Linked DNA regions of Elephas maximus indicus. The main gene of each other region encodes a partner of the protein of the gene in region 3 in a complex. Links are inferred from orthologs where the notes say so. Each region holds a gene or a part of one and is shown on either strand. Other genes may lie near its edges.

Evidence for each region. Proteins that work in one complex are often made in the same cells at the same time.
Region 1: the proteins of RPS6KA1 (region 3) and MAGI1 are in contact, whole or in part, in a crystal structure (PDB 5N7F), measured with the Homo sapiens proteins. The link is inferred for Elephas maximus indicus from reciprocal best matches to the Homo sapiens genes RPS6KA1 and MAGI1. Residues at the interface, in NP_002944.2 of Homo sapiens: Pro731, Ser732, Thr733, Thr734, Leu735; in NP_001028229.1 of Homo sapiens: Arg480, Gly481, Phe482, Gly483, Phe484, Thr485, Val486, Val487, Gly488, Asp490, Lys499, Ser500, His532, Val536, Phe539, Gln540.
Region 2: the proteins of RPS6KA1 (region 3) and SYNJ2BP are in contact, whole or in part, in a crystal structure (PDB 7P74), measured with the Homo sapiens proteins. The link is inferred for Elephas maximus indicus from reciprocal best matches to the Homo sapiens genes RPS6KA1 and SYNJ2BP. Residues at the interface, in NP_002944.2 of Homo sapiens: Pro731, Ser732, Thr733, Thr734, Leu735; in NP_060843.2 of Homo sapiens: Arg18, Gly22, Leu23, Gly24, Phe25, Asn26, Ile27, Val28, Gln33, Ser45, Arg46, His78, Val82, Phe85, Arg86.

What each region holds. Positions count from the first base shown.
Region 1 is NC_064838.1:71,687,541-71,695,468, forward strand, and holds the start of MAGI1 (membrane-associated guanylate kinase, WW and PDZ domain-containing protein 1), read right to left. Parts: upstream 3,235-7,928; 5' UTR 2,365-3,234; coding exon 2,052-2,364; intron 1-2,051. UniProt on the Homo sapiens protein: Plays a role in coupling actin fibers to cell junctions in endothelial cells, via its interaction with AMOTL2 and CDH5. May regulate acid-induced ASIC3 currents by modulating its expression at the cell surface.
Region 2 is NC_064828.1:83,064,472-83,071,972, forward strand, and holds the start of SYNJ2BP (synaptojanin-2-binding protein), read right to left. Parts: upstream 3,235-7,501; 5' UTR 3,119-3,234; coding exon 3,055-3,118; intron 1-3,054. UniProt on the Homo sapiens protein: Regulates endocytosis of activin type 2 receptor kinases through the Ral/RALBP1-dependent pathway and may be involved in suppression of activin-induced signal transduction.
Region 3 is NC_064821.1:67,006,719-67,014,353, forward strand, and holds the start of RPS6KA1 (ribosomal protein S6 kinase alpha-1), read left to right. Parts: upstream 1-4,451; 5' UTR 4,452-4,615; coding exon 4,616-4,750; intron 4,751-5,570; coding exon 5,571-5,687; intron 5,688-5,869; coding exon 5,870-5,951; intron 5,952-7,101; coding exon 7,102-7,182; intron 7,183-7,357; coding exon 7,358-7,437; intron 7,438-7,635. UniProt on the Homo sapiens protein: Serine/threonine-protein kinase that acts downstream of ERK (MAPK1/ERK2 and MAPK3/ERK1) signaling and mediates mitogenic and stress-induced activation of the transcription factors CREB1, ETV1/ER81 and NR4A1/NUR77, regulates translation through RPS6 and EIF4B phosphorylation, and mediates cellular proliferation, survival, and differentiation by modulating mTOR signaling and repressing pro-apoptotic function of BAD and DAPK1.

The DNA.
Region 1 (7,928 bases), on a different chromosome or scaffold from region 3:
CTTCCAAAGCTCCATAATGACGCAGCCCTGGGACAATGCCTCCTGTCTCTTTTGATGGCCAGTGAAGAGAGGAAGCCCAGCTATATGCAGCATCGGGCACACTGAAAACACGTCCCCATGGGCCCATCGGACACCACCAGACACCCCACTAGGTTGGCCTATCCTTTCTCCACCCCTTTCTCCAAAATGCCTGCATCCATTCCCATCAAATGTCCTGACACAGTATTTTCCCTACAACTCTATCAAATCCTGATAATTCAGGTCCCTGACATCAAAAGTTAACCTTACAAAGAAGTAAGTACTCAATTCAATTCAAACATAACAATAACTCACCTTTACTGAACACTCAGTACATGCCAGGCACTGTTTTGTGCACTTCCTGTACTAGTTTACATAACACCCAGAAGAAAGCCATTTTATAGATAAGGGAACACCCTCAGAGGTGGGTCTCAAGCAAAGGCTGGGGAGAAGGGCTAGGAATGAGGCACAGTCTCTCCCTGCAGTAAGCTTACTACCTGGGACAAGAGGAGTAGGACCCAACTTGTAGCTCTAAGTTAAAAACCACAAGGTACACATCAAGGGAGCCCAGAGGAAGAAGGATTTGTTCATCCTGGCAGGAACCTGGAAGGCTTCTTGGAGGAAGTGTCCAAGTGGAGATGAGGACATAAATGGCCAAAGATTTTCATAGCTCAGTGTCCACCCCTCAGCTCCCAAAGCTACCAAAGACTTAGCTATCCCCTGCCCCCTCTTCCCTTTCCTGGAACAAGCCTGTTTCCAAGAGAAGCCCAGCCCAGGCCTTCTTTCCTTTGACACATTCCTCCAGCTGCTGTCCACCGACAGACACATGTGGGACCTCTTTACCATGCTCAACTATGTCACCTCCTTTGGTGTTTTCAGGGAGAGAACTGCATCATGGTGTTTGGTCACACAAGGGATGCCTTTTAGAGACTCCAGTCTTCTCTGCTGGACTGATGTAGGAACAGCCCCTTGCTGTCCCAAACCAAGATGTAAGACACCCCTCTTCCTCCTCCCCCAACCAACTGCATCTTCCATCCTCTAAGAGGTAGACCCCTCCAGGCTTCTCAGGGGAAAATCTAGTCTACTTCCTGACACAAGTTAGCCCCTCCAGTCCCTAAGGGTCATCCCCCAACCCCTACCTCCTACCTCCTCAGTGCTTAAGGCTCTGCAACTCAAACCAGGCTTTTGGTAGGGGTGTGACCTTGGGCAAGTCACTTAACCAATGTCAGTCCCGGTTTCCGTATCTGTTAAATGGGGTTTATAAAAACAACTCTTTCTTAGGATTGTGAACCAGAGTGAAATCATACAAGTAAGGCAGCACCCAGAGCCTAGCACGGAACACAAATCAATGAATGGTAGCTATCGTTATTATAGAGGATGATGATAATAATGACAGCGTAAATTGGGTCTAGATTTGCGCTAAGAGTAATACCCCCTCGCCCCGCCCGGTGCTGGGCCAAACGGTGGAGACACATGCGTCATTCGGCTGTGGGGTGAATGCAGAATCTTCAGGCAGCGGGCTTAGGAACCGCCAGGCGAGGGGTTGTGGGGTGAAGCCGATTTTAGGGTGGAGGGGATCCAGTAAACTGAGGACCCTTCCTTCCTTCATACCCACTTTCCAGGTCTGGAAACAGAAAAATGGCAGAAGAAAGTCAGCAGCTGCGCCCGCAGCACTTCTTCCCCCAAGGAGCTGCTGGAGCGTCCACCTTTGCTCCAGCCTCAGTTCCCCAACTCGCCTCCAGGTGCAGGCGAGGCTGCGCTGCGTTTGGTGGCTGAGATAACAGGCTGGCAACCAGGCCCGCGACACGTCTCCCCGGTTCCCTGTTCAAACCCAGACGCCTCTTCCAAAGCAGGTGGGCAAACAACCTACAGTCTCGCAACAACTTTGTGTATGTCTCTACTGCAGGGCACACAGCCTCAACGTCCCCTCTCGGGTTCGCTGCGAGGAGGAACGCGGGAAATCACGGTTAGGGAGACACCCCACAGGCCGTGCAGTTTTCCAGGGGCGCCCCCAGAGGCGCGCCCGGTCTTACCTTGTCTGACGGCTTTGAAGGTGACGGCCTCCTTGCAGCTGTCGACGACTCCCAACACGTCATAGCGGGGCAAGCCGGACACCCGGATCCCCTGCACCTCCAGCAACAGCTCCCCCTCGCCCAGCCTCGGACCCTCTCCTCCGCCAGGAAGCCCCGCCACCTCGGCCGCGGCCACCGCTCCGACGTACGGAAACTCCCCGTTCTCCGCGCCCCCCAGCACCGTCACCCCCAGCTCGCCCTGGGGCCCCCGCTTCACGGTGCATTCGTGAACCCTGCTGGTCCAGTGATTCTTCTTCTGGATCACTTTCGACATGACGAGGTACACCCCTCCTCCAAAAAATAAAATAAAATGAGAGACAGGTGCCCCCCCAGCGCAAGCCTCCAAGCCGCCGGTGGTTCATAGGAGAGCCACCTCCTCCCAGTAACGCCCCTGGAGAGGAACTTGGCGGCCTCGCTCGCCTGCACACACTCGCGCACTCAGGCCATCGTCAAACAAACTTTCTGGGCTTCCCCACCGAGCCTGCACGGGCGCCCGCGCGCTTTGTTTGCGTTCCGGTGCCTCTCGGTCCACGTCCGGGCGCCCGATCGCGCTCGCTCGGACCAGAGTCCACTCTACGCCGCTCCGGGTTTTTTTTTGGTTTTTTTTTTTTTTCCTTCCTTCCTTTCTTTCTTGCCTTTTAGAAATGCGGAGCCTCCTCCTTGCCTCCCGCCCGGCTCGTCCTTCCTCGCTGGCCGGCTGCTCCCGAGGTGGGGCAAGCCCTGCCAGCCCAGTTGCAGGGAGCCCTGGAGACGCGGCGGCGCAGCGGCGCTGAGGGGGAGGACAGCAGGGAAGTGCCCGCGGCCCCTTTAAGCAGATACAAAGGCTCGGCTTGTTTTGTTACATTTCATTCTATTCCGCGCCGCCGAGCGCAGCGAAGCGGCCGGCGGGAGGAGACGCGCGCGCATGCGCCCCGCGGCCGCCTGCCATCCGGCCCGCCCCGCCTCTCCTTCCCTGAGCGAAAGAGTCCAACGGGCTTCCCGTTGGGTCCTAAAGCCGAGCCTGAGAGCAGCCGACTGCCGCCCTCCTCCCCTTCGCACACCGCTGAGCGTCCTCCTCCTTTTCTTTCCGAGGCGTAGACCCAGCAGCTCCTTTTAGGGTTCAGGTTAAAGGATGGTAATTCGCCTCCTACTTTCCAGAACTTAAAAAATATATAGGAAGAGCGCATGTATTTCACTTAAACTGAAACTTTTGAAACATAAAGAATCTGACTTCGGGATTTTAAAACCGCTTCAAACAGGTGGGGGTTGGGGAGGCTCACACACTCCCCCCCGCGTTCACCCTCACCCCCGCGCTCACACACTCACCCCCGCGTTCACCCTCACCCCCGCGCTCACACACTCACCCCCGCGCTCACCCTCACCCCCGCGTTCACCCTCGCGCTCACGCTCACCCCCGCGCTCACCCTCACCCCCCCCGCGCTCACACACTCACCCTCGTGTTCACACTCACCCCCGCGCTCACCTTCACCCCCCCCGCGCTCACACACACACCCTCGCGCTCACACTCACCCCCGCGCTCACCCTCACCCCCCGCGCTCACACACTCACCCCCGCGCTCACCCTCACCCCCGCGTTCACCCTCGCGCTCACGCTCACCCCCGCGCTCACCCTCACCCCCCCGCGCTCACACACTCACCCTCGCGCTCACACTCACCCCCGCGCTCACCCTCACCCCCCCGCGCTCACACACTCACCCTCGCGCTCACACTCACCCCCGCGCTAACCCTCACCCCCCCCGCGCTCACACACTCACCCCCGCGCTCACCCTCACCCCCGCGTTCACCCTCGCGCTCACACTCACCCCCGCGCTAACCCTCACCCCCCCGCGCTCACACACACACCCTCGCACTCACACTCACCCCCAAGTTCACGCTCACCCTCACCGCCGCGCTCACCCTCATCCCAGCTCCCACCCTCACCCCAGCTCCCACCCTCACCCCCGCGCTCACCCTCACCCCGGCGCTCACCCTCGCGCTCACTCACCCCCGCGCTCACACATTCCCCCCCGGGCTCACACTCACCCCCGCGCTCACACACTCACCCTCGCGCTCACACTCACCCCCGCGCTCACACTCACCCCCGCTTTCACACACCCTCGCGCTCACACTCACCCCCGCTCTCACACTCACCCCCGCGTTCACTTTCACCCTCACCGCCGCGCTCACCCCCGCGTTCACACTCTCCCCCCGCGCTCACACACTCACCCTTGCGCTCACACTCACGCACTCACGCTGGCCCTAAGCCTCCTGCCGCCCTCGCCTGTGGCTGTGGATCACCTAGCCCGCTGTGTCCGCCCCCGACACTCCCAGCCAATTTCCCTCTAAACCCCTGAGACCCCCGGGAGGCGCGCCCTTGCTCCCCGCCGCCGTGTGCCCGCGGTTTCGCGTTCTGGCGGGGGATCTGCCAGGATCCCGGGAGCTACCAATCTGGGATCCCTGTGAGCCTCGCACGCCCCCATACGCCGTTAAACTTTGGAGCCAACGTCATAGGACACAGGGAAAAATACAGGCGAGGGAGAGAAGCCCAGGGGCTGGAGGGGTTCGGACCTCCAACCCTCGTTTAAATGGCATCTAGCTTTTTAACTGTCCTTCCAGAAGAGACTTCTGGAGTCTGTCATTTGCCCTGGACTCAAGGTACTGGCGGAGCCGGGAAGCCTGGGGACCCGCCCCGAGGCCAGGAGATAAGGATCGCCACGGAGTCTGGGGCATAGGCGCGCAGCCGCCACCTCTCAGAATTCGAGGCCCCAGGTCGCTCCACCTCGGGAGCCGCCCAGAGGCGGGGAGAGCGTGTGTCTGTCCGGTGAGGTTACAGAACCAGCTCGGCCGCAGGCAGGAGAAACACAGTCGCCACGAAGGCTGCCCTATCCAAATACTCCCTTGATGGGCCTGGGCGGTTAAGGACTTTCCCAAGCGGTTTCTTTTTCCTTTTAATGATTTATAACTTGATTATTCATCTTTAGTCACAGGAGAGAGTCCAAATGCTAAATAAGGGAGGTGAGTTGAGGGGACTGAGAGAGTGGTATGCCCCAGGGGTCAGGTTGAGAGCTGGGCTCCGGAGTGTTGTTTCCCGTGGTCCACTCTGTGCGACCTTGGGCAAGTTCCGTGGTCTCTCAGAGCCTTCATTTTCTGCCCTGTAAGAAGACTGTAACAGTACCTCACGGGGTCCTTGGGAGCGTTACATGGGAGAATACTTGTAAAGCAAATACTCGTCAAGTGGCATATAATAAAAGTATATTATTAGTAGTATTAATACTCAATTTGGAAAGGGAAAGGAATTCATTTGAGGTTTCAGGTTAAATGATGATAATTCATTTACTTTCTAGAACTTAAAAAATGTGTAAACATATATTTAAATATCTTAAAGCACTTTTTTAGGATTCTATTTTATTATAGGGAGCCCTGGTGGCACAGGGGTTAAGAGATTTGCTGCTGACCAAAAGGTCAAATACACCAGCTGCTCCTTCGAAGCCCTATGGGGCAGTTCTGTTCTGTCCTATAGGGTCGCTATGAGTTGGGATTGACTTGAAGGCAATGGGTTTTATTCTTGCTAGAAGTCCCTGGGCGATGCAAAGGGTAATGCACTAGGCTGCTACCCTTAAGGGTTGGGGGTTTGAGTCCACCCCAAAAGCACCTCAGAAGAAAGGGTTGGAGATCTTTTTTCCGAAAAATCGGTCATTGAAAACCCCATGGAGCATACATAGTTCTACTCTGACACACGTGAAGTTGCCGTGAGTAGGAACTGACTCGACAGCAACTGGTTTGGTTTATCCAAGAAAAGAATGTTGATGCTTCTCTCTTGGAATATCCAGAACTTAAAATCTTATTGCCTCCTTGTGTTTCTGAAAGGAGGTGGCCAATTTCCCGTGGCCCTCCTTGGTGAGGGGCGCGTCCTTCATCTCCAGCCTCTTTTCTCAGAAGGAGGTCCCCAGGTGGCACAAATGATTTGTGCTTGACTGCTAATCCACTAGCCGCTTTCTGGAAACCCTACAGGGCAATTCCAGTCTGTCCTGTAGGGTGGCTGTGAGTCGGAATTGACTTGACGCCAACAGACTTGGTTTTTGGTTTGGTACTAACATAAAGGTTAGTGGTTCGAACTCACCCAGGGGTGCGGTGGAGGAAAGGCCTGGAACCTGCTTGCGTAAAGACTACCGTCAAGAAACCCCAATGAGGCAGTTCCACTCTCTAACACATATGGCCGCCACGAGTCCAAGACGATGGGTTGGTTGGTTGATTGTCTCAGAAACAACTGGTTTGTTCCAAACCTGTGGAACAGAATCTTATGGGGAGCTTCAGTAGGATCCTAAACTCAACCCCAGGTCCAGCCATCCCGAATGTCAGGGAGAGGGTCTCTCATCTGGATTTTTAAGGTGCCCCCAAGTGGTGCTGTTACACAATGTTGAGGACCACGGCTCTAGCACCATAATTCCTAAACAATTTTTTTAGTATAAAGCTGTGTATGGTTCATCTTCCTCTGGAGTGTACGCTCTGGGAGAGCAGGAAATTTGGCGGTTGTGTTTACTGATGTATTCCCAGTTCCTAAAACAGTGCCTCACTCAAGCAGCTTCTGTCTCATGGTTACCCCATTGTATTTCAGAGTAGAACTGTGCTCCACAGGATTTTCATGGCTGTGACCTTTTGGAAGCAGGTCACCAGGCCTTTCTTCTGAGGTGCCTCTAGGTGAGTTCAAACCACCAATCTTTAAGTTAGTACCCGAGCACTTAACTGTTAGCACCATGCAGAGGCTCCTAGAACAGTACTTGGTACCTAGTAAATGCTCATGTATTGGTTGAATGAATATTCCCAGAAAAATGCACATTTTCACCTCCCATGTTAGAGGGGAATCCCAGATTACCTTACAAATTACTAGTAAGCTTGATCCTGCGGGTTCCGCCCACCCCCTCCCCCACTCCATAGTCCAGTAAAGACTGATTGCTAGCTAGGAATTCCTCCACCTCCCTAGAATCAGCACCTCTGGACTCCCGCCCCTGCATGGGTAGTCTAGGGGCTGTGCAGGGCCATCTGGACTCCCGCCCCTGCATGGGTAGTCTAGGGGCTGTGCAGGGCCATCTGGACTCCCGCCCCTGCATGGGTAGTCTAGGGGCTGTGCAGGGCCAGGTGCTTCTGGACTCCTCCCACTGTGGTGCTGCCATCTTCCTTCTCCAGGATTCCAGGTGTCCCTGCACCTAAGAGGGAAATGGATGTGGCCTTTAGCACACTTCAGGATTTAAATGTGGAGTAACCCCAGGAGAAGAAGTACATTGGAGTACAGAGTGCAGGATGGAGAAAGGAATAGGGAGACAGGAAATAATTCAAGCCTCCGAAGCAGCCAAAGCTGCCGGTTTTGAAGCATTAGTTATATGTTTGCAAACTCTCTTGCCCTTTTCTCACTTCTGCTGTTTTTTCTGTTTCAGCTGATCTGGTTCCTACGTCCCAGACCGGAAACCCCTTCAGAGCAGAAATCGTATCTGCCCTACCCAACTTATGAATCCTCAGAACCTAAAACAACCCTTGATGGAGACTGTGCTCCATACGCACTTACTGAATAATTGAATGAATGGATGAAATTTGATGTTAAACTGTTTAACTTGTGGCCTTTGACGCAAAGCCAATTTTTATATTTAGTGGCTAGAACCGAGGTATTTGTAGGTTATTTTCTTGGAAGAGTTTGAAGTGAATTTTTCTTGAATAGGTATAAGGTGGGACCCTGGTGTCCAGGTATCTCTCATTTATGCCATGACTTTGGCAGTACATTCCGATGGGGAGAATAATACCGTGAAGTTCATAACTTTGACGTTTACCTGTGTACCAGGATCATTATGGGTATCATTTAATCCTCACA
Region 2 (7,501 bases), on a different chromosome or scaffold from region 3:
TGGCAGACAGTTTATGCTACAGTAGAATCAAAAGACTTGGGTTAAAATCCTGGCTCTTTGTCACGTGAATAAACATACGCACACTCATGTTCATTGCAGTATTATTCACAATAGCGAAAAGATAGAAACAACCTAAGTGGCTATCAACAGATGAATGGATAAACAAATTATGGTACATACACATAATGAAATACTATGCAACCATAAAGAACAGTGATGAACCTGTGAAGCAGCTCACAACATGGATGAATCTGGAGGGCATTATGCTGAGTGAAATAAGTCAGTCACAAAATGACAAGTATTGTATTATAAAAACTCAAGAAAAGGTTTACCCATGGAAACAATCTTTGATGGTTACCAGGGAGGGAAGGGTAGGGAGGAGATATCACTAACTAGATAGTAGACAAGTGTTAACTTTGGTGAAGGGAAAGACAACGTACAATATAGGCGAAGTCAGCACAACTTGACCGAGGTCAAGTCATAGAAGTTTCACAGACACATCCAAAAACCTTAAGGGACTGAGTTACTGAGGCTGAGGACTGGGGACCATGGTCTTGGGGGACATCTAGGTCAACCGGTATAACATAGGTCATAAATAAAATGTTCTACATTGTAGTTTGGTGAGTAGCATCTAGGGTCCTGAAAGCTTGCAAGCAGCCATCTAAGATACATCTATTGGTCCCATTCCATCCGGAGCAAAAAAAAAAAAATGAAGAAAGCCAAATACACAAGGAAAATATTGGTACAAAGGACTAACTGACCACATGAACCACAGTCTCCATCAGACTAAGCCTAGAAGAACTAGACCACCACCGATCACTCTGACAGGGATCACTATAGAGGGTCCCAGGCAGAGGATGAAAAAATGTAGAACAAAATTCAAATTCACAAAAAAGACCAGACTTACTGGTCTGACGGTGACTGGAAGAACCCCTCAGACTACGGCCCCTGGACACCCTGCTAACTCAGAACTGAAGCGACTCCCGAAGTCCACCTTTCAGCCAAAGATTAGACAGGCCTATAAAACAAACAATAACAAATGTGAGGAAGGTGCTTCCTAGCTCAATCAAGTATATAAGACCAAATGGCAGCACCTGCCCAAAAGCAAAGACAAGAAGGCAGGACGGGACAAGAAAACTGGATGAATGGACTCTGAGACCCCAGTGTGGAAAGGGAAAGAGGGAGAGTGCTGACACACTGCAGGGACTGCAACTAAAGTCACAAAACAATTTGTGCATAAAATTTTTGAATGAAAAACTAATTTGTGCTGTAAACTTTCATCTAAAACACACACACACACACAAAAATCCTGGCTCTTGAAACTTACTAGCTTTAAACCTTTGGTAAGTCCTTGACCAAGGACCTCAGAGGCTATAAACAAGCTGGAGATAAGACAGTGTTCTAAAAAAGGTAATAGGTAAACTGTTCAACCCCTGAATGTATTTGAGATTACAACCGTTGCCTTTCAGGATTCTTCAGATCAACCACAGTTAGCCCAAAATGATAGGTATCGTAAAACAGCACGTGGAATGGGCCAAAGAATTACGAACTCTTGGAGGTAGAAGAGACCTCAGAAGTCATCTAGCCCAAGTCTCTCCTTTCATAGTTTAGGAAGCAGGCATAGGAGAGATGCCAAGCTACATGCGAAGCTCCTTTTTGCCTCCCAGACACTCTCTTCAATGTCATTATTTTCCCAAGATTTCATTATTTCCTTTGAGGCAAACAGAATAGGTTCTTATGCCCCCAAAATATGAACCCAAATCCTGCAACTACCCCAAACTCTTGCCCCTAACCGAACACAGGAACAAAAGGGCAAAGGTATACACGCTCTTGCAGTTACCTGATTAAACCATCAGGTCCCTGCGTAGGAAGCTGTACAAAGAGTGACAATGCTGCCTACAAACAGAAATGCCTATTTGGAAGTAGAAGCTTTTCATATTTCTTCTATAGAAAGAAAGATCACTGTGCGACTACCAAAATTACCTGGGAGTTTCTAGAAGTGCTAACTGATTTCTCACTTGCATATCTTCACGATGACACAGTGAAGAAAAACTGAATTAGACTCTTAGGCTTCTTAGGAGTACCCATATGCCAAGTAACCAGTGCTGGGAAGTGATAAACAGGAACTTGAAACCCTTCCTAATTAACTGAACCAAACTAAAAAAAAAAAAAAAAAAACCTAAGTAAACTTCAAATGACTCTTCTTTATCTAAGTTCAATCCTAGGTTTGTGGCTCTATTGTCCTAGGCTCTTAAGTTCATTAACTTACATGACAAAGACATGAAAATGCTTGGGAAAAATCAAGAAGACGTCAGTCAACAAATTCATTTATTTTAGTTAAGGGAGGATCTGGCTGCAGCAGAATCATGTGAGGCTTTTTAAAAAAAAAAAAAAAAAAAAAGTCTGCAATGAATCCAAATCGCTAGAACTTGGGCATAGGAGTTACCATTTTTACTTTAAAAAAAAAAAAAAACGAAACGGCAAAAACAAAAAACTCCGGGTAATTCTGAGCGGAATCAGATTTGGGACATGCTGTAATAGAAGATCTCTAGAGTCTCTTCCTGTTTAACATACTCGTTAACACCCAAAATGAATTACACAGAAAAGAAAATAAGGAAGGAGCCTAACACCAGGAAAATGACTACGCATTCGAAGTCCATACCGATCACGCTCCCCCGTTTTACTAAACGGTCGGTCATAGAAACAGGGGTAGATGCTGGATTGGAAAGGGGCGTGGTGTCCACGGTATGTCGGCTAAAAACGGGGTGTGCTTTTTTTCTCTGTTTTTCTGCCACTATTAGCAGAAAGAAACTTTTCCTGACTATAAATAGGTATGATAATGCCTCTGACAGATGAGCTGGATGTCTCAGTCCCGTGTCTGGCCAACAACGGGTGTCAATACGTTCCTCCTACGTGCCTGCAAGAGTTGCAGGAAAAGTCAAGGTTGGGGCCTGCCTGCTCCGAGGCTAAGTGAATCTGGCTTGACAGAACTGTCTGCTCTGCAATCACACCTTCATGTCCCCTACTACCAGGGAGGAGCCGTTTAGCACATACCTGAGGGTCCTCTGGTAAGATTGATCTCTTCCTCAGTGACCAAATAATCCACTCTTCCGTTCATGTTTTAGTGCTCTCCAGGCTTCCCACCTGGGTGGGCTAAAACTACTCAGATGAAGGTGAATCAATCTCAATTCCTTAGCCCAGCACTTTCGGTTTCAGCAGCCTCCAGATCGGAAGCGGATACCGCGAGAGCTAGGAGCGCTAGGAATGCTGGGAGTCGTGGTTCCCGCAGCCGACATGTTCCGTTTTCTCACCTGGTCCTTGCAGCAAAATGTGGGGTGAGGGGAGAGCACATTACGATCCTAATTAACTGGTTGAAAGCGTGGGGGAGGCAGACTAAATAAAGGTAGGAAAAAAAAAAAGGTAGGAGGCATTAGTAAATTGATATTGTTGAGGAAAAATTAAAAATAAAATCTCCTGCATACCCCGGAAGTCCTCTCCTCAAATGTAGGGGGAAAAAAAGAACTTTATTGTTCAGTAAACATTAAATCAGCCTGCAATGGGCATCACAGGCCCTGCTATTGAGATTGCAAAGACAGAAAGAAATCTCACCCTTTTTCATAGCCAAGCAGATACCATCCATTACATGCGTGTTCTCATGTAAGAGGACCTGACAGCACCAGTTGTTATACATTCTTTAGTAGTTCACACTTGGAGTGGCCGTTTGTGTTAGTTAATTGTCCTTATCCAAAGGAAAAATAAAACTTCTCTATCTGTATGACAATAAAACAATATCATACACAAGTGAAGTTTTGCTGAAGATCATTCAAAAGCGGTTACAGCAGTTCATCAACAGGGATCTGCCAGAAATTCAAGCCACATCAGAAGAGGTCATGGAACCAGGGATATCATTGCTGATTTCAGATGGATCCTGGCAGAAAACGGAGAATACCAGAAAGATGTTTACCTGTGTTTTATCGACCCTGCAAAGGCATTCGACTGTGTGGATCATAACAAATTATGGATAACATTGCAAAGAATGGGAATTCCAGAACACTTAATTGTGCTCATGAGGAACCTGTGCATAGATCAAGAGGCAGTTGTTCGAACAGAACAAGAGGATACTGCGTAGTTTAAAGTAAGGAAAGGTGTGTGTCAGGGTTATATCCTTTCCTCATATTTAGTCATTCTTTATTCTGAGCAAATAATCCAAGAATCTGGACTATATGAAGAAGATGGGGTCTCAGGATTGGAGGAAGACTCATTAACAACCTGCGTTATGCAGATGACACAATCTTCCTTGCTGAAAGTGAAGAGGACTTGAAGCACTTACTGATGAAGATCGAAGACCACAGTCTTCAATATGGATTACACCTCAACATAAGGAAAACAAAAATTCTTACAACTGGAGCAATAAGCAACATCATAATAAATGGAGAAAAGATTGAAGTTGTCAAAGACTTCATTTTACCTGGATCCACAATCAACACCCATGGAAGCAGCAGTGAAATCAGACAACTCATTGCATTGGACAAATCTACTGCAAAAAACATCATTAAAGTGTTAAAAAACAAAGATGTCACCTCAAAGACTGAAGTGTGCCTGAAAACAGGGTGATTGTTTTCAGTCACCTCATATGCATGCGAAAGCTGGACAATGAACAAGGAAGACTGAAGAAGAATTGACGCCTTTTAATTATGATGTTGGTGGAGAATATCAAATATACCTTGGGCTTCCAACAGAACAAATCTGTTTGGGAAGAAGTACAGACAGAATGCTCCTTAGAAGTGAGGATGGTGAGGCATCATCTCACATGCTTTGGACATGTTATCAGGAGGGATCAGTCCCGAGAGAAAGACATCATGCTTGGTAAAGTAGAGGGTCAGTGGAAAAGAGGAAGAAGACCTTCGACTAAGTGGTTGACACAGTGGCTGCAACAATGGGCTCGAGCATAACAACGATCATGAGGAGGGCTCACAACCAGGCAATGTTTTGTTCTCTTGTACATAGGGTCACTATGAGTCCGAACAGACTCAAGAACACCTAACAATATCTGTATGGCAAGCGGTACTTACAGTTTGGGATAGGGCACCTAGGCTAATTCCCACCTGAGGGGAGGTAGGGCATTACATTCCTCGATGTTTACATTTCAAAGAGTTGTCCTTAAGAAAGAGAGAGGGGAAAGTTGTCTTTCCCTTTCGGCAACTTGGAAAATTACATCTTTTTTTTAAGTTTACCATTACAGTGTGACTGGTAGATGACCTAGCTGTAACTTCAGCCCAGCCCTCCTGATTTGGGGGATAGGACATTCCAAAGTGTGCTTAATGGAGAGGGGTCAAAACTCAAAAGCCTTAAGGGCCAGGAAGGTGACTTTAAACTGTGAAACAACCTGGAATTGTTGCTGTTGTGTGCCGGGTCAATTCCTACTCCTAGCGGCCCTCTATGACACAGTAGGACTGCCCCATGGGGTGTTCTAGGCTGTGATCTTTACAGGAGGAAATAGGTCTTTTCTACTGTGGATCCTATGGTTGGTTCCAACCAGTGACCTTTGGGTAGCAGCCAAGCAATTAACCACTGCACCACCAGGGCGCCTAACCTGGAATTAGACAACAGGAATTGGTAGGAACCCTGGAGGATTGGAAAGTGGACGTCCAATATAAAGGCATTCAAATTCAGATTGAAAAACAAGCTCAACTAAAGCTACTGTGTTAAACGAACAAAACAAGACAAGGGGCAGATGTAGCCAGAAGGCCCCTTGTTTGCCAACACTGAAATTAATATGGAATGGTGAAAAGAACACAGGAGGTGATTCTAGAAGATCTGATCACTATGAGTTGGAACTGATTCAGCAAGGCAACCAACAACAACATGTTACTTGTTCAAACAGCTGGATGGAGATGGAGGTGAAATACAAGATCATATATTCTGGGCTACCACCCGCTCCTTGGAAATGCTGGTGGCGTAGTGTTAAGTGCTACGGCTGCTAACCAAAAGGTTGGCCGTTGGAATCCACCAGGCACTCCTTGGAAACCCCATGGGGCAGTTCTACTCTGTCCTGTAGGGCCACTATGAGTTGGAATCGACTCAACGGCAACGGGTTTAATTTTTTTGGTATCCACTCCTTGAAAACCCTATGGGCAGTCCCATAGGGTCTGTATGAGTTAGAATCCATGCAAAGGCAGTGGGTTTGGTTTTTATGCCTGTGGTTATTATGACATTTGGGAATGGGTTGTCTTTGTTATGTTAATAAGGCAGGATTAGTGTATGGCGTATCTTGACTCACTCTTTTACAAAGTGTAAAAGAAGCAGAGTAAGCAAGCAAAGATGGGGGAAGATAGATGCCAAGCCATATGAAGATCACCAAGGAACCAGGAAACAGAAGCTGAAGAGACAAGGACCTTCCTCCAGAGCTGACAGAAAGCCTTTCCCTAGAGCCAGTACCTAGATTTGGACTTCAAGCCTCATAAACTGTGAGAAAATAAATTTCTCTTTGTTAAAGCAATCCACTTGTGGTATTTCTGTTATAGCAGCATTAGATAACTGGGACACACATGGTATGATACCTACAGTAATAAAGGCAAAAAGCAAAAATGCAGAACAGACCAAAGTAGGAAGAAATAAGCCTTGCCTGGGAGTAAGGGTGGAAAACCTGGTGGCATAGTGGTTAAGAACTACGGCGGCTAACCAAAAAGGTCAGCAGTTCAAATCCACCAGGCACTCCTTGGAAACCATATGGGGCAGTTATACTCTGCCCTTTAGGGCCACTATGAGTCTATGAGTGCTGTGGGGAGAATGGCTGGCGTAAGAAATGGTGAAAAAATTGGAGAGTAGAGGTATGTCTGACCTCTACCTCATAGGAATCTCCTTTGTGCTGATCCTGGTTATCACTCATGGATTTAGACAAGTTCAGACACTAGCGTATAATACCAAACGCTTTCCAAGATGATCGTACCTATTTACATACTCACTATCTGAGAGTTCCCACTGCTCACATCCTCACTAATAATTGGGTTATTGGTCTTTCTAATTTTTGCTAGTCTGGTAGGTGTGAAGTGGTGTAACCCGACCTTGTGAATGCCTATCCTTAAACTAGCCCGAGCCAAATTTGGCCTGCCCCGCACGTGCAGAAGAGCCAGCGGTGATGGATAATTGACCTCGGTGGAGGATGCAGCAACAGGTGGAATGAATAACCATATCACCTCCTATTTCCTGGCTACCTTTTAGAATTTCCCTCTCCAGTACACCTGTGCGTCCACCATCTTGCTGCCCACATCACATAAAAGCCCCGTTTCCCCATAGCTTGGGGAGTCAAATCTGAGGAACTTCCTCTTGGCTCCTTGCTCTGTGCATTGCTATAAAGTCACTTTTTCTTTCTCAGAGACTGGTGTCCAGATTATTGGCAAGCCTGAGAGCACTGGACCCACCTTCCTGGGTTCAGTAACAGTGGTATCTCCTTAGTATGTCGTCTTAGTCATCTAGTATTGCTATAACAGAAATACCACAA
Region 3 (7,635 bases):
ACCTATGTCTTACAAAAGAGGAAACTGAGGCTCAGGTAGGCAAAGAGATTTGCCTGGAGCTCTTCTTGACTTGCCATCCTTTACTCCTGACCTCAGGCCTTTTGCTCATGCTGCTCTTTCTAGCTGGAGTGTCTTCCTTCCTGCCCAACACCTGTTGGCGCTCAGGACCCAGCTGGACTGCAGACACCTCTGGGTACCCACAGCACCCTGATTACATTTCTGTCACAGGACATTTGTGTTTTAGTATCAAGTCAGAATCGACTCGACGGCACTGGGTTTGGGTTTTTTTTTTTTTATTATTCATTTTTGGAGAGTCCCTGGGTGATGCAAACAGTTAACATGCTTGGCTGCTAACTGAAGAGTTGATGGTTCAGGTCTACCCAGAGGCACCTCAGAAGACATTCCTGGTGATCTACTTCCAAAAAATCAGCCACTGAAAATCCTGTGAGGCGTAGTTCTACTCTGACACACATGGGTCGCCATGAGTCAGAACCGACTCCACAGCAGCTGGCATTTATTTTCAGGAGCTCTCTGAGGACAAGGCTAGGGTCTACCTTAACATTTCTGCCTCCTGGTGTCCACCTCTGGCCTGGGACAGAGTAGGGGCCAGCAGTGTGAGTGATGTGCAGAGAGGGGCCAGGCTGGCCTTGCTGGGAGGGTGACAACGAAATTCTTAAGTGGGGGCTTTGGAAGCAGACAGACTTTGAATTTGCTCTTCGCACTATCCTTTTCTAGCGGTGTGAACTTGGGCAAGTCACTGTCTCTGAGTCTAGTGTCCTTATCTTTGAAATGGAGATGACAGATACCTCCCCGGGAGCTGAGACCCAGGATCTCAGCTCCAGTGCTAGGGCCTCGCAGAACCCACATCATCAAAGATTGCAGGAAAGAATGGCTGCATGCGAGAAGCGCTTAAGTGATAGAAAGTACAGTTCCCCTCGTTACTATAAGCCAGTCCTGGCCTAGGGCCTGAGGCCACCTCCCCACTCAAGGAGGCCTGGGACTAGGGACTCCTCCTCACCTGCCCAGAAGTATGCTGGGAGATGTATCTGGGGACATCTGTCCCACCAGAGGGGCCCATGTCTAGGAGGCCATGTAGATGCTGCCAGCTAGGGAAGGGGCTGTTGGTGTCCATTAGAGCCAGGGGCAGGCAGGTGGGCTTGAGCTGCAGCTGGTGGAGGGAGGCCCAGGGTGGGGGCCTTGGTGGCCAGGGATCAGGCTAGGGGGCTCTGGGCTTCTCTCCCAGCTGCTGTGTGGGAGGAAGTAAATAAAGAGGAAGTGTCTATGAGGGGAGAAAGGGTCCGGGACCAAGGGGATGTGGGCTGGTGCCTGTCCTCCCCCTCCCATCACCAGAGGCCGCACAGCCCCTCCAAACATCCTTCTGTGAAGGCAGTTCTGAAACTGTTTCCTTCCTGTTGCCCGTTCCTGTAGTGTGCTGGCCATAGAAGTTCTTCCTCTGCTTCTAGGGGGCGGGCTGGGGGAGAGGCCAAGCTGGCACTGGCCCCTCCTCTGTTGCTGGACCGACCAGACGTTCTAAGGCTCTCAGGGCTGCCCTGGCCCCCAAGTCCTGGCCTGAGGACTCTGGGTGGCAATGAGAGGCCTCAGTTAAGGGGAACATCTTTCACAACCCCCGCCAGGACGCCACCTGTCAGAGAATGTTGTTATTGGAGGCCCTGCGAGAGCCGGGAAGGGGAAGTCTGTGTGTACGTGGGGGTGTGGATTTCCACATAGGGGATGTCTGTGGAAATGGTTTCCAGCCGTCAGCCTGAGTGTGTGTCTGTGCGCGCTCGTGTCAGTTCCTGTGGGTGTACTGGTATGAGTGAGGAGGTGGAGCCACGTGGTAAGGGCAGGGCCTGGTCCACCCCTATCCCACAGCCACCTGTTCCTCCACCTAGACCTCTGTGTTGAGTTGTCCAGTGGGCAGCCAGGGTCCTTGTCTAGGGGCTTCTGCCCCATTGTCCATCCCAGGGTCTTAGACTGGCAGGCTTCTTCAGGAAGGGCTTGGAGAATGGGGCCTCTGAGCAGGGGCAGGGCTGAGTATGGTGCTTGCTCTGTGGGCTGATGTTTCGGGTGAGCCTAGCCATGAAGGTTGCTATGGGGGAGGGAGTGTCCTCGGGAGTTGGACCAACTAAGTGCTGAGCTATGTAGTTCAAGGCTGTGGCCTTGCTGATTTCTGTTCCCATTCTCTCAGACCCCTCTTGGGGGTGCTGGGATGTCTACTGTGTCCCGGCGTTATCTCTATGTGACTTCTGTGATCCTGTCTCCCCCTTCGGGGAGACAAGTGAGGTGCATCCCCGAGTCATCCTTGGGGCTTCGGGTTTAGGGTCTGCACTATCCCCACCTTGGCAGGGAGCCTGACCCGTCTTCTGTCCCTCCTCCCAGCAGAGGGGGAAGTGAGAAGGAGGGAGGCCATGGACCCTGCCTTCTGGGCTGGTAAGGCTAAAAAAGCAGAAGTAAGGGGAGTAACGGGGCCCTCTGGCCACCAGCTTGAGCCCCACCATGCAGACCCCGGCAGACTTCCCCAGGTTTGAGGGAGACTCAGTTCCCTGTCCCAGAAAGGTGAGCAGAGAGGTGGCCTGCCTCCAACAGTGTCTGTCACGACAACTCTGGGCGAGGACTGGGTTTGGGGGTGGCTATGTCCCCTGGGGTTTCTGGGTGGCTGCCTCTGCCCCCAGAGAGTGTTCTCAGTCAGAGGCAGACAGATGAGGTGGAAGCTCAGATCTTAGAGTGGGGTTAGCAGGCATTGCTGTTTTCTTGGCCCACCCCCGCCTCTCTCTGAGCCAGGCTTTCTGCCTGTCCCTCCAGGGGTTTATACTCAGGGGCCCGATTAGCCTGCAGCTTTCAGTGGCTGCTACACCCACTCCCCCATCTGTCAGGGAGAGTCCTCTGAAGATGGGGCTGTGTCTCTGAGGGTCAGGACCTAGAGTGGGAAGTCCCCAGGCTGATCCTAATGGTGAGGGTGGGGGCAGGCTGGGGTGGGCAGGAAGTGGCTCTGGCTGACTTACCTGCCCACCCTTTCCTGGCACTAAAGGCCAGGCAGAAACCAGGGGAGGGACTTGGGTTCAAGCCGACTCTGCCGCTTGGCTCGTTTTGAGTCTGGGTGAGTCACTGTCCTTCTCTGGGCCTCAGTTTCTTGTTCTCAAAATGGAGATAATGGTTTTTGGGATATTTTGGGTCAGAGTCAAAGTCATCAGATGACATCAGGAGATGGTCTCTCAGCCCACTGTCTTAGTCCTGGGCCTCCTCAGGCTCTGGCGTAGGAAGAAAATCTGAGGGAAACGGAAAACCTCATTGTTGGGTCTGCCATGAATACTGGGCTACTCTCCTGAGTCGTGGGGGTTTGCTGTTATATCTCCTTACCCTTCCTCCTCCCTAGACAAACCAACGAGAACCCAGAATTCTACCCTCCAGCCCCTCAGAAAGGTCTGACCCCCTTTCCTAGGGATCCCTGCCTTGCTGCCTGTCTGTTCGCTGTCACATTCATCTGCTCTGGGCGCCTGACAGTCTACTTGGGCCTAACTGACTCTGACTGTCTCTGTCTGCTACCTGTCTGCCTCAACTATTGAGTTCCTGTGTCTGTCTTTACCTATCAGATACATGTTCCCATTTGTCTCTTCCTGTTGGGCTCGTGTCACCTTCTGTCTCTGCCTGTTGGATACAGGAACTCCTCTTTCTCAGCCTCTTGGGTATGTGTCCCAGCTGTCTTTGCCTGTTGGGTACGTGTCTACATCTGTCTTGCCTGTTAGATACAAGTTCCCATCGGCCTCTGCCTCTTGGGTGAAAGTCCCTGTCTGTCTCCATCTGTTGGGTACAAGTCCCCATCTGCCCCTCTGCCTGTTGGGTGTGTGTCGCTATCCATTTCCCAGTTGGGTACGAGTCCTCATCTGCCTCTGCCTGTTGGTTATGAGTCCCCATCCAGCTCCACTTCTTGGGTTCATGTTCCTGTCTGTCTCCACCTGTGGGATATGTGTCCCCATCTGCCTCTGTCTATTGGATATTTCCCCATCTGCCTCTGCATGTGCCCCTTTCTGTCTGTGCCTTTTGGGTACGTGTCCCTGTCTGTGTCCACCTGTTGGGTATGTGTTTCCTCCTGCCTCCTCCTGCTGAGTATGAGTCTCCTTCTGTCTCTGCCTGTTGAGTACATGTCCTAGTCCATCTCTGCCTGTTGAATGCCTGTCTTTATCTCTCTCCACCTCTTGGGTGCGTGCCCCTGTCTCTTGGGTATCTCCCTTTATCTGCCTCCACGTGCCTCTGCTGTAGAGTTCCTGTCTCTGTCTCTCCTGATGAGTGCATATCTTCACCTCTGCCTGATGGGTGCCTATCTACTCCTCAGCAGATGGGTTGGCCTGGGCCTTTCGCTTTACAGGCCCAACAGGGAGGGTGGGAGGAGGGCCAGAGGGCAGCCCTCAAGCATTGGGGAGGGGAGAAGAGAGAGAGGAAGGGAACAGGGTGAGGGTATAGGCCTGGAGCTGGGAAACCACAGGCCCTGAATGATTGGCGGTCCTGGGCCAGGCCCAGCCCCCGCCCTCACCCTGCACATCCGCCTTGAGCCTGGCCACCTCCGCGGCAGCCCCGACTCTGCCTGCTCCTGCCATGGTGCCACGGCCCTGCCGGGCGAATGGAGCAGGATCCCAAGTCGCCCCGTCTGCGGCTTTGGGCCCTGCTCCCCTGGCTGCCCAGGAAGCAGCGGCCCAGGATCAGCCAGACCTCGCTGCCTGCCTCAGGCCCTGGCTCTGGCCCCCGGCGGGACTCGGTGAGTATGTCCAGATGTCTGGCCCTGCCCAGCTATGGCCCTGGGAGCAGGTGCCTAGGCAGCCAGTTTGGCCTAAGCTGGCTTTGGACTGTCCTAGCCCAGGCCTGGCTGTGTTGGATGGCTGAACCCTGCCCAGAGTTGCTTCCTGGGAAAGTGAAGAGGCGCTTCAGGGCTCTAGGGCAATGGTAGTAGGTTGGAGGAAGGGAAGAGGGGTCCTAGAATAGCCAGGACCTGGCAAGGGGCTTCTCATAGGCTTGTATGAGGGAAGTTTGGGAGGGAGGGCATTGAGTCTGGCGTTAACTCCCAACCGCCCCATGTTGGCACTTACTGGGTTGGTGGTAGAGTCCCAGATGACGCTTAGGTCTCTGTGTACTTCAGCCCTGTCCTACCTGCCAGAGGGATCCCCCCGTTTCCCATCCTGATCAGGAACAAAGGCTCAACTCCACCTCCCCACTATGAGAACAAACCCTACTTCCTATTGTGGTAAAACCAAAAACCTTTGCAGCAGGGGGAGGGGAGCCCCACAGGGAGGGCCTGGGGCAGGCCTACTACGGGCCTCAGCCAGAGCCTGGGGTTGGGGGATTCCCTCCTGCCCATGCCTGGGCATCCCAGGCCAGAGCAGCAAGAAAACAGGAACACCTTGGTGGTTTGACCCTCTCTGACCTTTGAGGCCCTTTTTGGTTCGGTGAACTGGAGGCTGACTGTATTAGGGTGGCTGTCTGGTCAGGCCTGTGCGGCCCTGTCTGGTGAAATCTGCTGGGAATGGACTTGGATTTGGGGGACGGTGCCTCCATGCTCACCGACTCTGTCTCCCCACCAGGATGAGGGCATCCTCAAGGAGATCTCCATCACACACCATGTCAAGGCTGGCTCTGAGAAGGCTGACCCATCCCATTTCGAGCTCCTCAAGGTTCTGGGCCAGGGATCCTTTGGCAAAGTAAGTTCTGAGCCCACAGCTGGGAGGGCAGCACTGGCCATGTCAGAGGTGGGAGGTGAGGGGTCACCTCAGAGCCCAGAGTGAGAAGAGTAACTTCTGGGGTCACTGGGGTGAGGGGTCACCTTTGTGCTCAAGGGATCAGGGGCAAGGGTTGATGGGCTTTTCTCCCACTGCCTTCCCAGGTCTTCCTGGTAAGGAAGGTCACCCGACCTGATAGCGGACATCTATATGCTATGAAGGTACTGAAGAAGGCAACACTGAAAGGTGAGTGGGGAGCACCTCCCCATGCGAGCCCAGGCTGGGCACAGGGTTGATGGAGACAGCCTAGTCCTCAGGGCCTTTGGTCTGATGGGAGAGGTAGCCCTATTCTCAGGAGCACCTAGTCTGAGGGAGGAGAAACCGGCCTACTCTCAGCTGCCTGCCATCCCACCCCACCTGATGGGGAAGACAGGGTCCACTTAGAAGAAAAGACTTCAAGCCGTTAACCCTCCACCTGATCCCCACCATCACTAATGAAGCCACATGCCAATGGCTAAGGCTGAAGGTGGTTGTCTAGAAGAAGGTAGTGGGGCAAATGCAATGTGTTTGTGGTGTGGTGGGGGCCCTCTAATATGGTTAGGCAGAGGTGTTCTAACTGTCAGTAAAATTTGGGGAGACCTCTCTGGACTCATTGGAGGAGAAGGGCATGAGAGAAGAGGCAGGAACCCAGGGAGCCAGGTGGGCCAAGAGAAGGTGAGGTTGAGGCAGGGCCATGGAGATGGATGGCACAGGGGTTCAGAGGGAGCATGAGCCAAAGTCTAGCATTTTGAGGACTTACAAGGGGTGTGCGGGTGGTTGGTGGAGGGCTTTGGGCTGGACATTGACTCTTTGATTGGTTCGGGAACCAGTGTGGCTGCTGACCAAGTGAAGTGGGGGCAATAGGAGGCCTTAGAGATGTTATGGATCATGTGGCCCATGAAGGGCTGTCTGGAGTGTTGGTAGCTTTGGTGCCTCTGGGCCAACCTGAGGTAGGGATGGGAGTCATTCCCCAGGAGGGATGGTGGGAGCCACAGGGAAGGAGAAAGATGAAGACATTTGGTCCCTGCCCGGGAAGGCCTCCTAGGCTGGGCAGGAGAAGCTAAAAGACCGTCAGACTGGAGAGATGGGCAGGGGGCCAAGGGCCCATCCCTGGACCTTGCATAAGGGGCAGGGACAGGAAGCAAACCAAGGAGCCAGACACAGAATAAGAGCAAAGGAAGAAACCTGAAGATTGAGTGTGCCCACAAGCCCTGGGGAGGAAGCTCCGGGAGCTCAGACCTGGAAGAACAAGTAGAAAAGAGGGTCCTTCTTAGCCAGGGTTTGGAGAGTGGCTGGCTATGTGGGTGGCTGGACTACTGGGAGGGCTCTAGCGTGACGGCCTTTCTCCTCTGGCCAGTCCGTGACCGGGTCCGGACCAAGATGGAGAGAGACATCCTGGCTGACGTCAACCACCCATTTGTGGTGAAGCTGCACTACGGTGAGACCACAGACCTACCTGCCCTGCTCACCAGCCTTCACCCTTGCCTCTGGGGTGCTGCCTTCCCTGTACCTTATGGCACCTCCCACCAAGCAGGCCAAGAGAGCGGGAGGAGGCAGGGGAGTAGGTTCCAGAGCCTAGCTGGCTCTACCATTGCATCTTCCCCTCTCCCCAGCCTTCCAGACCGAGGGCAAGCTCTATCTCATTCTGGACTTCCTGCGTGGCGGAGACCTCTTCACACGGCTCTCTAAGGAGGTGAGCCAGCACCCCCCTACCAGAGGACCCTAGAATGGAGCTGTGGAGAGAACCAGGCCTCCCATCCCAGGGCAAGCAACGTGGCCAGGATCTGGGACCACGCAGGCCTGCCTAGCAGTCCCTCAACCTGGAAATATCACCCACCCTGGGACAGAGCTCTGGTAAAGCTTCTGAGAGTTCCCCCAAGGTGGGCTGTAG